Linked DNA regions of Callithrix jacchus. The protein of the gene in region 2 interacts with the protein of the main gene of each other region in a biochemical or structural test. Links are inferred from orthologs where the notes say so. Each region holds a gene or a part of one and is shown on either strand. Other genes may lie near its edges.

Region 1 (4,525 bases), on a different chromosome or scaffold from region 2:
TCAGACTCAGAACTAACATTATAACCAGCCTGCAGTGATTCATAAGTACTTTAAAAAGTGGTCAATCATTTCATCAAAGCAGAGCCACACAGTCCGGGGGACCACAGGTGGCCTCTGTGTGCCTGCCTTGGTTTCCCTGCCCCTCTTTAGACATGTTGGTTAGACACTGCCAATGCCAAGCCTCAGCCCTCAGACTAATTTTGAAGCAGTCGGGATTTACTATCATTACATAAGACCCTAGTGTTTACAGAATGTGTTCCCCTCTCTGAGGTCTGGATTAGATCCATTTTACAGGCGAAGAAACTGAGGTTCAGATATTTAAGTGACTTGGAAGCAAGCAAAGAACACTGGGCTGTGGGGGTTGGGAGGGCTGGGCTCTTATCCTGGGGTTACCACAAGCATGCTGTGGGCTATGGGGAGCCCTGTGCCATCTATGGGCTTCAGCCTCCCCACTAAGGTAGATGGGTTGGGTGAGAGAACGACTCCCTTCCCAGCTCTGAGCTGGATGGCTCACCAGGGACCCCAGGCTGTCTGGAGCAGACTCTGTGCCCGCTGCTGAGTCTGGAACTTTCCTGCATCTTGCCTTTGGCTACCCTGTTCTTCAGGGCCCAACACCCTGTCTTCTGGTCAGAACCTAGGTCTGAATGGTTTTTTCCAGAAGTTGTTGCTTTCAGGGGCGCCTGGCAGAGGGGTGTTTCTGGCTGCTTTTGTGTCTCTGGCATGACAAAGGCTCCTGCTGGAGGCATTTCAGGGCTCAGTGGGCAGCTGGGGCACAGCCCATGAGACCAGAGCCTTCCTGGTGATCCTGGTCTCTGCCACCCACCCTGTCTCTGGGGAAGGCGCTGACCCATATCTTCTCCCACGCTGCCCCCTGGCTCTGCGCGCCTGATTACTTCTCATGAAAGGTGCTCCTTATTAATGTCCTACCGAGTGTCCAGATGGGCCTGTTGGGCTGTGCTGGCTTTGGATGTGAACCATTTCAGGAAGGGGAACCCCACCTTCCTGTTGGTTCTGTTATGGGAAATGAGTGAGCTCAGATAAGCAGTTTCTGGGAGGGGCGATGATGGAGAGGGTACAGGGGGAGGGGTTTCTGTTTTATGCAACAGCCTCAGCTTCTGGGAAAGGGTCCATTGTGTAAGACCAGGGTTGTGGCCTGTGCCCCTTGGCTCAGGGTAGCCAGCCCAGTGGTGGCAGGAACACTGGCAGGGCAGCCTGCTGTAGGCTTAGAGGGATGGGCCGTGTGGAGGGCCTGGCAGAGCAAAGGGACTCATCCTTCCAAAAGGACTTTCTCTGGGAAGCCTACTCCTTGGGCCACTGTGAACCCTCTGTACTCTTAGAAGGGAATTGTCCTTCCTGGCTTCCACTACTTCTACCCCTGAATGCACAGGCAGCCCAGCCCAAAGCTCCCACTAGGGATGCAGATGGATTCGGTGTGAGGGCAGCTGCTGCTGCCTCCGGCTCTTGAAAATCAAGTTTGTGGGCCGGGTGCGGTGGCTCATGCCTGTAATCCCAGCACTTTCGGAGGCCAAGGTGGGCGGATCACGAGGTCAGGAGATGGAGACCATCCTGGCTAACACAGTGAAACCTGGTCTCTTAAAAAAAAAAGAGAGAGAGACAGAAAAACAAAGAAAATCAAGTTCAGGTAGTGTTGAGACTTCCGGGGGGCTGCGGCGCTGTGGTGGATGGGGGGGGTGTCTGCTGGGGGAAGATATGGAGGCACATCACAGAGGACGGGGCTGGTCTCTGGGATGCAGTCCCTCTGTGGAGGTGGCATGCGGAGGGACGGATACGTGACCCAAGGGAGATATTTTCAGTGTGTGACATGATCGACGCCACTCTGGACAAGGAGGCCGGGATGCAGAAAGCCTGTGTGCCTCAATGATTGCAGGGGAGGATGTGGCTTGGAAAATAGCCCGGCTCCTCTGATGCCAGGGTTCTTGTTTCCTCCACTGGATGCTGCTGTCCTGCGGTCCCTCCCTCCTTGCACTTCCTGCCATCGCTTTCTTTTGAGGTATCCATGGCAAGTCTGGTCCTTTCCCCCTGTTTCCTCAGGGATAAAAGTGCAGCAGTGCTAGCTGGGGGGACAGCGAGGGCGGTGAAACCCTGGGGAGCTGCTGCAGGCGGCAGGTGGGCAGGATGCCAGCAGGCTGTCTAGCTGTTCCCATGACGGTCTCCTGTTTCCTGCAAACAGAGGCGTGCGAGGACTCAGAATCAGAGGCATGATGAAGACTCTGCTGCTGTTTGTGGGGCTGCTGCTGACCTGGGAGAGTGGGCAGGTCCTGGGGGACCAGTCGGTCTCCGACAATGAGCTCCAGGGTGAGTAGACCAAGTATGATGTTCCACAGGGTGGTGAGGTCAGAGCGCAGGGCTGCTGACTCCACTCAGGGCCTCTCTATCACGCCCCGAGTGTTACAGACCATTTGATCTAGTGCACTGGATCTGGGTGTCTGTGTCTGGACCCCCTCCGAGCCTCAGCTCCCAGGCCTCTGTGGGCATCAGGCTGTCGGCATTTGCAGGCAATTCCCAAGCCCGTTCTGGCTGCTGCATTTCATTCAGCTGCTCCCTTCCCAGGCCCCTTGGCCCAGCTCCCAAGCCTCCTCCATGAAGCTGTGTCTGGACCGTTGGAGCTCTTATCCCTCTCCCGTTTGGAGTTTGTCCCTCCTGGGAGCTGACCGCTTCTGCAGGATCATTGTTAAAAACCCCGATCAGGCCAGGCTCAGTGGCTCAAGCCTGTAATCCCAGCACTTTGGGAGGCCGAGGTGGGAGAATCACAAGGTCAAAAGATCAAGACCATGCTGGCCAACATGGTGAAACCCTGTCTCTACTAAAACTACAAAAATTAGCTGGGCATGGTGGCAGACACCTGTAGTCTCAGCTACTCCGGAGGCTGAGGCAGGAGAATTGCTTAAACCCAGGAGGCAGAGGTCTCAGTGAGCCGAGATCTCACCACTGCACTCCAGCCTGGGTGACAGAGCGAGTCTCTGTCTCAAAAACAAAACAAAACAAAACAAAAAAACCCCAAGTCAGACCTGGGTGTGAGTCTGTTCCACTTCTTCTCAGTTGGGTGACTCTGAGTCACTCTCTTGATCTCATGACACGTTCCCCAACCCCTGTTTTATTGAGATAATGAACAAATAAAAATTGTGTATATTTAAGGTATATGACATGATGTCTTGAAATGTACATACATGGAAATGATGACTACTTTTACAGTGGGGCGGTAGGAACGCTTAAAATCTACTCTCAGCGAACTTCCCGGTACAGTATGGTGTTATTAAGTACAAGCACCACCTGTATGATAGACCTCCAGGACCTACTCCTCCTGCCTGACTGACACTTGGACCCTCTATCGTACCACACTTCCCATGTCCCCCTCTGCAAAGTGGGCATGGTAGTGGGGCTGGAGCATTCTGTAAACTGCACATGAAGTGTTTGGTGCAGTGCTCGGCATGGGATAAGCACCAGTGAAGTGGCACTTAGGGGACACAGTGTTTCTCTGCATCTGTCACCAGTGCTATGCCTTAGTCATTTCCTCATCTTATTTCTGTCACCTGGCACTGTGCATTGGAAAAAAGAAATACACATCTGGTTAAACTGAACTCTAGAAAGACTTGTGTCCAAAATAACAATATTTTATATTTTGATACTTCAAAGCTGACCACTTCTGGGTTTTTAAAAAATATTTTTCCTTGACAAGTTTCTTCTGCACCCGGCTCATTCTCCAGGGGCACATGGCAGTGGCTGGGCACAGCTCTGCCGTTTCCCCCGGGGTGTACCGGCTCCCATGGTTTGCAAATCTGAGCAGTGAGAGCAAGGGGCCTGTGATGGGAGCCTGTGTAGGTCAAGGCTGGGACTGTGCTGCTGTCTGCGGGGGGGGGGTGGGGATCCCAGCCTTGACAGCCCCTTAACTGAACGGGCCTCTCTGGCCATTCCTGCTCACTCCAGGGTTATATCCCGAGGCCATCCCTTCCTCTCACCTCATGCTACCTCTTGCGCTTCTCTTGCAGAAATGTCCGATCAGGGAAGTAAATATGTCAATAAGGAAATTCAAAATGCTGTCAACGGAGTGAAAGAGATCAAGACTCTCATAGAAAAAACAAATGAAGAGCGCAAGACACTGCTTAGCAACCTAGAGGAAGCCAAGAAGAAGAAAGAGGTCAGGAGCCGAGAAGGCTGCCCAGCCTTGACCATCCCACCAGAGGGAGGGGAGGAGGGAGGGGGTCACAGCACGGTGCCTTGCTGGGTTGCCATGGTGACCCACAGTCCTCCCAGGCTGTGTCAGCTGATGCCGAAGTTAAGAAGGAGGGAAGGTTTATTGGAGTTTGAAAGCATCAGGGGGTGAGGTCTTGGATCTGGATTTCTTATGAGCCTGGCTCAGGGCCTAATGCCCAGATTCATTTCAATAGATGTTTCTAAACCCTGACCACGTGCTGGCTCCAAGCAGGCTCTGGTTTGGGTGGCAGCAGGGGCCCGGAGTGGGGTGGTGTCCAACCCTCAGGAAGCTTGTCTAGTAGGGGTGATGCGG
Region 2 (3,307 bases):
CATCTGCTCTTCAGCCTCATTATAGATAAGATGGTGTGCATCATTTCAAAGGCCCAGGCAAAATCTCGTTCACCTGAGTAACCTCCTCCACTAAAAAATAAAGAGCAGCAATTTCTGTTATAATCGTCATTTTCAACCAAGGCTCTGCATTAAATCACCCAAGGAACTTTTAAAAACGCCTAAATGGCTGTTCTAGTTTCCCTTTACTTCATAAATGATAATAGTCATGGCTTCTATTGACTGAGGGTATACCTTATGCTGGGCATTGGGTTACACTCTTTTCATACACTGCCACATTGGACTCTCACAACAAAGCCCCCTATTTTACAGAGGCCACAGCTGAGGCTCAGAGAGCTTAACGGCAGGAAGATGGCCCACATCCTATGCAGAAAGGAGCTGGCTGGGAAATTGTCCTCTTGACAAATGACTGTTAGACATTTGACTGTTGACAAATGACTGTTAGACTGTTAGTTATTAGAGAAACAGAAATATATACCCTTTCTCCCTGGTCTGCCTTAGCCATGGACAGCATTCAAGGACTGGCTATACCGGTGATTACTTGGGACTCTGATATCTACTTGTTTCTGGAGAGTTGTTTCCTATAATTTATACCAGACTATGATGGACATATACAAAATGAATGCAGAAGCTTAATTTTTAATCAAATCGCTCTGGATTCACTTCCAGGAAGGAGTGGTACAGAACTGGTGTTACTGAGAGCACGCAAAGCCTCAAGTTTTTACACAGCAAATACAACTGATTCACGACTGGGGCTAATGAAGCACACAGAAAACATCTGATAAAATACACATTTATTAGAAATTTTTCAGCAGCATAATTTCCAGTTGTTTGTCTATTCAAAGTACACTTCAAAGTAATTACAATCAGCACTCAAAATATGAGCAAGAAATATTTTGAGAAAGCTGGAATAAAATAATCAGTAGTATATGTTTCATTCATCCATCCATCCATCCATTCATTCATTGTTTAACAAATGTGCAATATTAGCACAGAGAGCCAGGAATGCTATTTGCTATGGGAAAGTGTGTATTCCTGCCATGGTTCCTGTTGTGGAGACTACACCTGCCCACTATTTAAGAGAAGAGCTGGAAGCCGGGCACAGTGGCTCATGCCCATAATTCCAGCTACTAAAGAGGCTGAGGTGGGAGGATCACTCGAGCCCAGGACATCAAGATCAGCCTGAGCAACATAGCAAGACCCCAGCTCTTTAAAAAAGCAATAAAAATTAAAGAGAAGATCTGGACTGTACAGTACATTCGAATATAAATGTACACATTTAGCCAAAGGGCCTAGGAAAAGCTTAATAAGAATGGTTTCCCTTTCTATTCAGGTTCAACTTAGGAAATAAATAGTGATTACAATGATATTTTCATAGAAACAGAAACCCAGTTGAGGCTTTGCTTAACTGGGGTTTTTTTTTTTTTTTTTTTGCACCTTATTTTATGAAGACACAGATTTGGTTTCAGAAATTTAGCTACTGAGCTCCAGCTACTATGGTAGGTGACCACCTCGGATGTCAGGTGAGGGCAGAGATTGCTTCAGGGTCCATCAAGCAGAAGAGCTCATTTAATTAACTACAAACTCAATGCAGGACAGTGGCACTTAATGATATGGGATTTCCTCATAGACATCACAAATAAAAATGTTGCCTTGGCAGTAAGTGAGAGAACACACATGAAACAGAGGGTTCTGGTTAGACAATGCCAACATGCAGAAGGGCCAAACTGAATTGCTTTTTCTACCTTCTGTATTATCTGAGGAGTCTACAGTCAAGTTCAGATGTCTATATAACACACAGTGGCCCTTATCAATATACCCATTAATCAAACTGACGTGTAATATTGAACATTAAGCGCTAATGTGTAAAAATGGACCCAGGAATGGAGTCTGCACTCCTTTCCTAGATAATTTTATAGGAGATATGAGCGGTGCCTCTTCTTCAGACACGGCTAAAGGTCCCAAGTCAATTCCTTTTCTCGTTGGATCATTGACTATCATGACCACTACCCGAGTCAGCAGACATTTTTATTAGCAAATTCAGTAACAGGATAATCTTTCCAAAATTTACAAATATACAGTATATTTATAGTATTACCTTCAGACAACTTCAGTGCAAAGATATACATATAATACATTGTGATAATTATTTGTAAAAATATGAGATGGCATAAGTAAAAAAAGACACACACAATACTTCCAACTATCGGCAAACAGGAAAAAATATATTTTTCATAAAGTACTGAATGTTGACTTTTTTCATCTCTTTGTAAAAAATATCTGTGCAAAAGTGTGTTTCTAACTATTCCTTAAATAGCTGGTATAGCTATACTTCAGAGTCTTCTTTAACAAGATTTGCGGTGTCTTTAAAAGTGTCTTCTGTTGCAGAATAGGTTGGCATTGGCTCTCTTTTTGAAGGAGGCTTAGGCTTAGCAGGGGGCGAAGGTGATGGAGGTGTGGTCGCAGCAACACTTTCCTTCTGTTCGTTCTCCATCTAAGAACACAGCATAGCAGGGATCAGCCATTTATTCCCGCAAAGAAACCATACATGATTTTTCATAAAGAAGACAGTTTGTGGCCGCTCTGCTCAGAATAATCTAAGTGTGTGTCCAATTTAACCAAGCAAATAATTTCTAAGAAAGAATGTCTGTGCTAAGAAAAATTGTTAAAAATTACCTGGGCATAGATTGGATTTTCAAAGTTGGTAGTTTGTTTAGCTTTTCGTCTGAAGAGATTCCATTTTGTCACCTAAATGAAAAGGGGAAAACAAAACTCTCTCAGTAATGGAATTATTTTGTGAGTTTCTCTTCTTCCTGTCTCAATTTTAAAATCTCTTCTTACTGAAGGATAAAGCAATTTGGGACTTAGGACCACGTGATTGAGCCCATGTGGTAAATTTTCAGTTTCTCCTATGGTCCCTGAACAGTAACTGAAACTCCCCAGGCTCTTTTCATCAAATGGTTTTAGATACTTCTTTAATTTCAAATTTATAATTTACAGAATCTGTGCCATAATGTCTACAAGCAGATCACTGGCTACTTCACTACAGAGAGAACACATAAAACAGACACATACAAGGTGCATCTGGAGAAAAAAAGATTTCTGGGGCTGCCTGAAAATTGGGCAGAGATAAACTATAACTCTTATTCTCTACAAGTACGTTCTTTGTATCCCTTCCCCCTTCATCATTCCCTCCTGTATCATAATAATAACAAAAACATCTAACATTTGTTGAGTGCTTACTGTGTGTCAGGAATTATTCTAAGAGTTTTACCAGTTTCTGATGTTT

Evidence for each region.
Region 1: the proteins of LRP2 (region 2) and CLU form a complex in vitro, tested with the Homo sapiens proteins (3 studies listed by BioGRID). The link is inferred for Callithrix jacchus from reciprocal best matches to the Homo sapiens genes LRP2 and CLU.

Annotation. Positions count from the first base shown.
Region 1 is NC_133514.1:14,088,113-14,092,637, forward strand, and holds the start of CLU (clusterin), read left to right. Parts: upstream 1-1,411; 5' UTR 1,412-1,497; coding exon 1,498-1,642; intron 1,643-1,932; coding exon 1,933-2,011; intron 2,012-2,191; coding exon 2,192-2,316; intron 2,317-4,007; coding exon 4,008-4,156; intron 4,157-4,525.
Region 2 is NC_133507.1:60,359,231-60,362,537, reverse strand, and holds the end of LRP2 (low-density lipoprotein receptor-related protein 2), read right to left. Parts: intron 2,767-3,307; coding exon 2,695-2,766; intron 2,513-2,694; coding exon 2,345-2,512; 3' UTR 800-2,344; downstream 1-799. UniProt on the Homo sapiens protein: Multiligand endocytic receptor. Acts together with CUBN to mediate endocytosis of high-density lipoproteins. Mediates receptor-mediated uptake of polybasic drugs such as aprotinin, aminoglycosides and polymyxin B.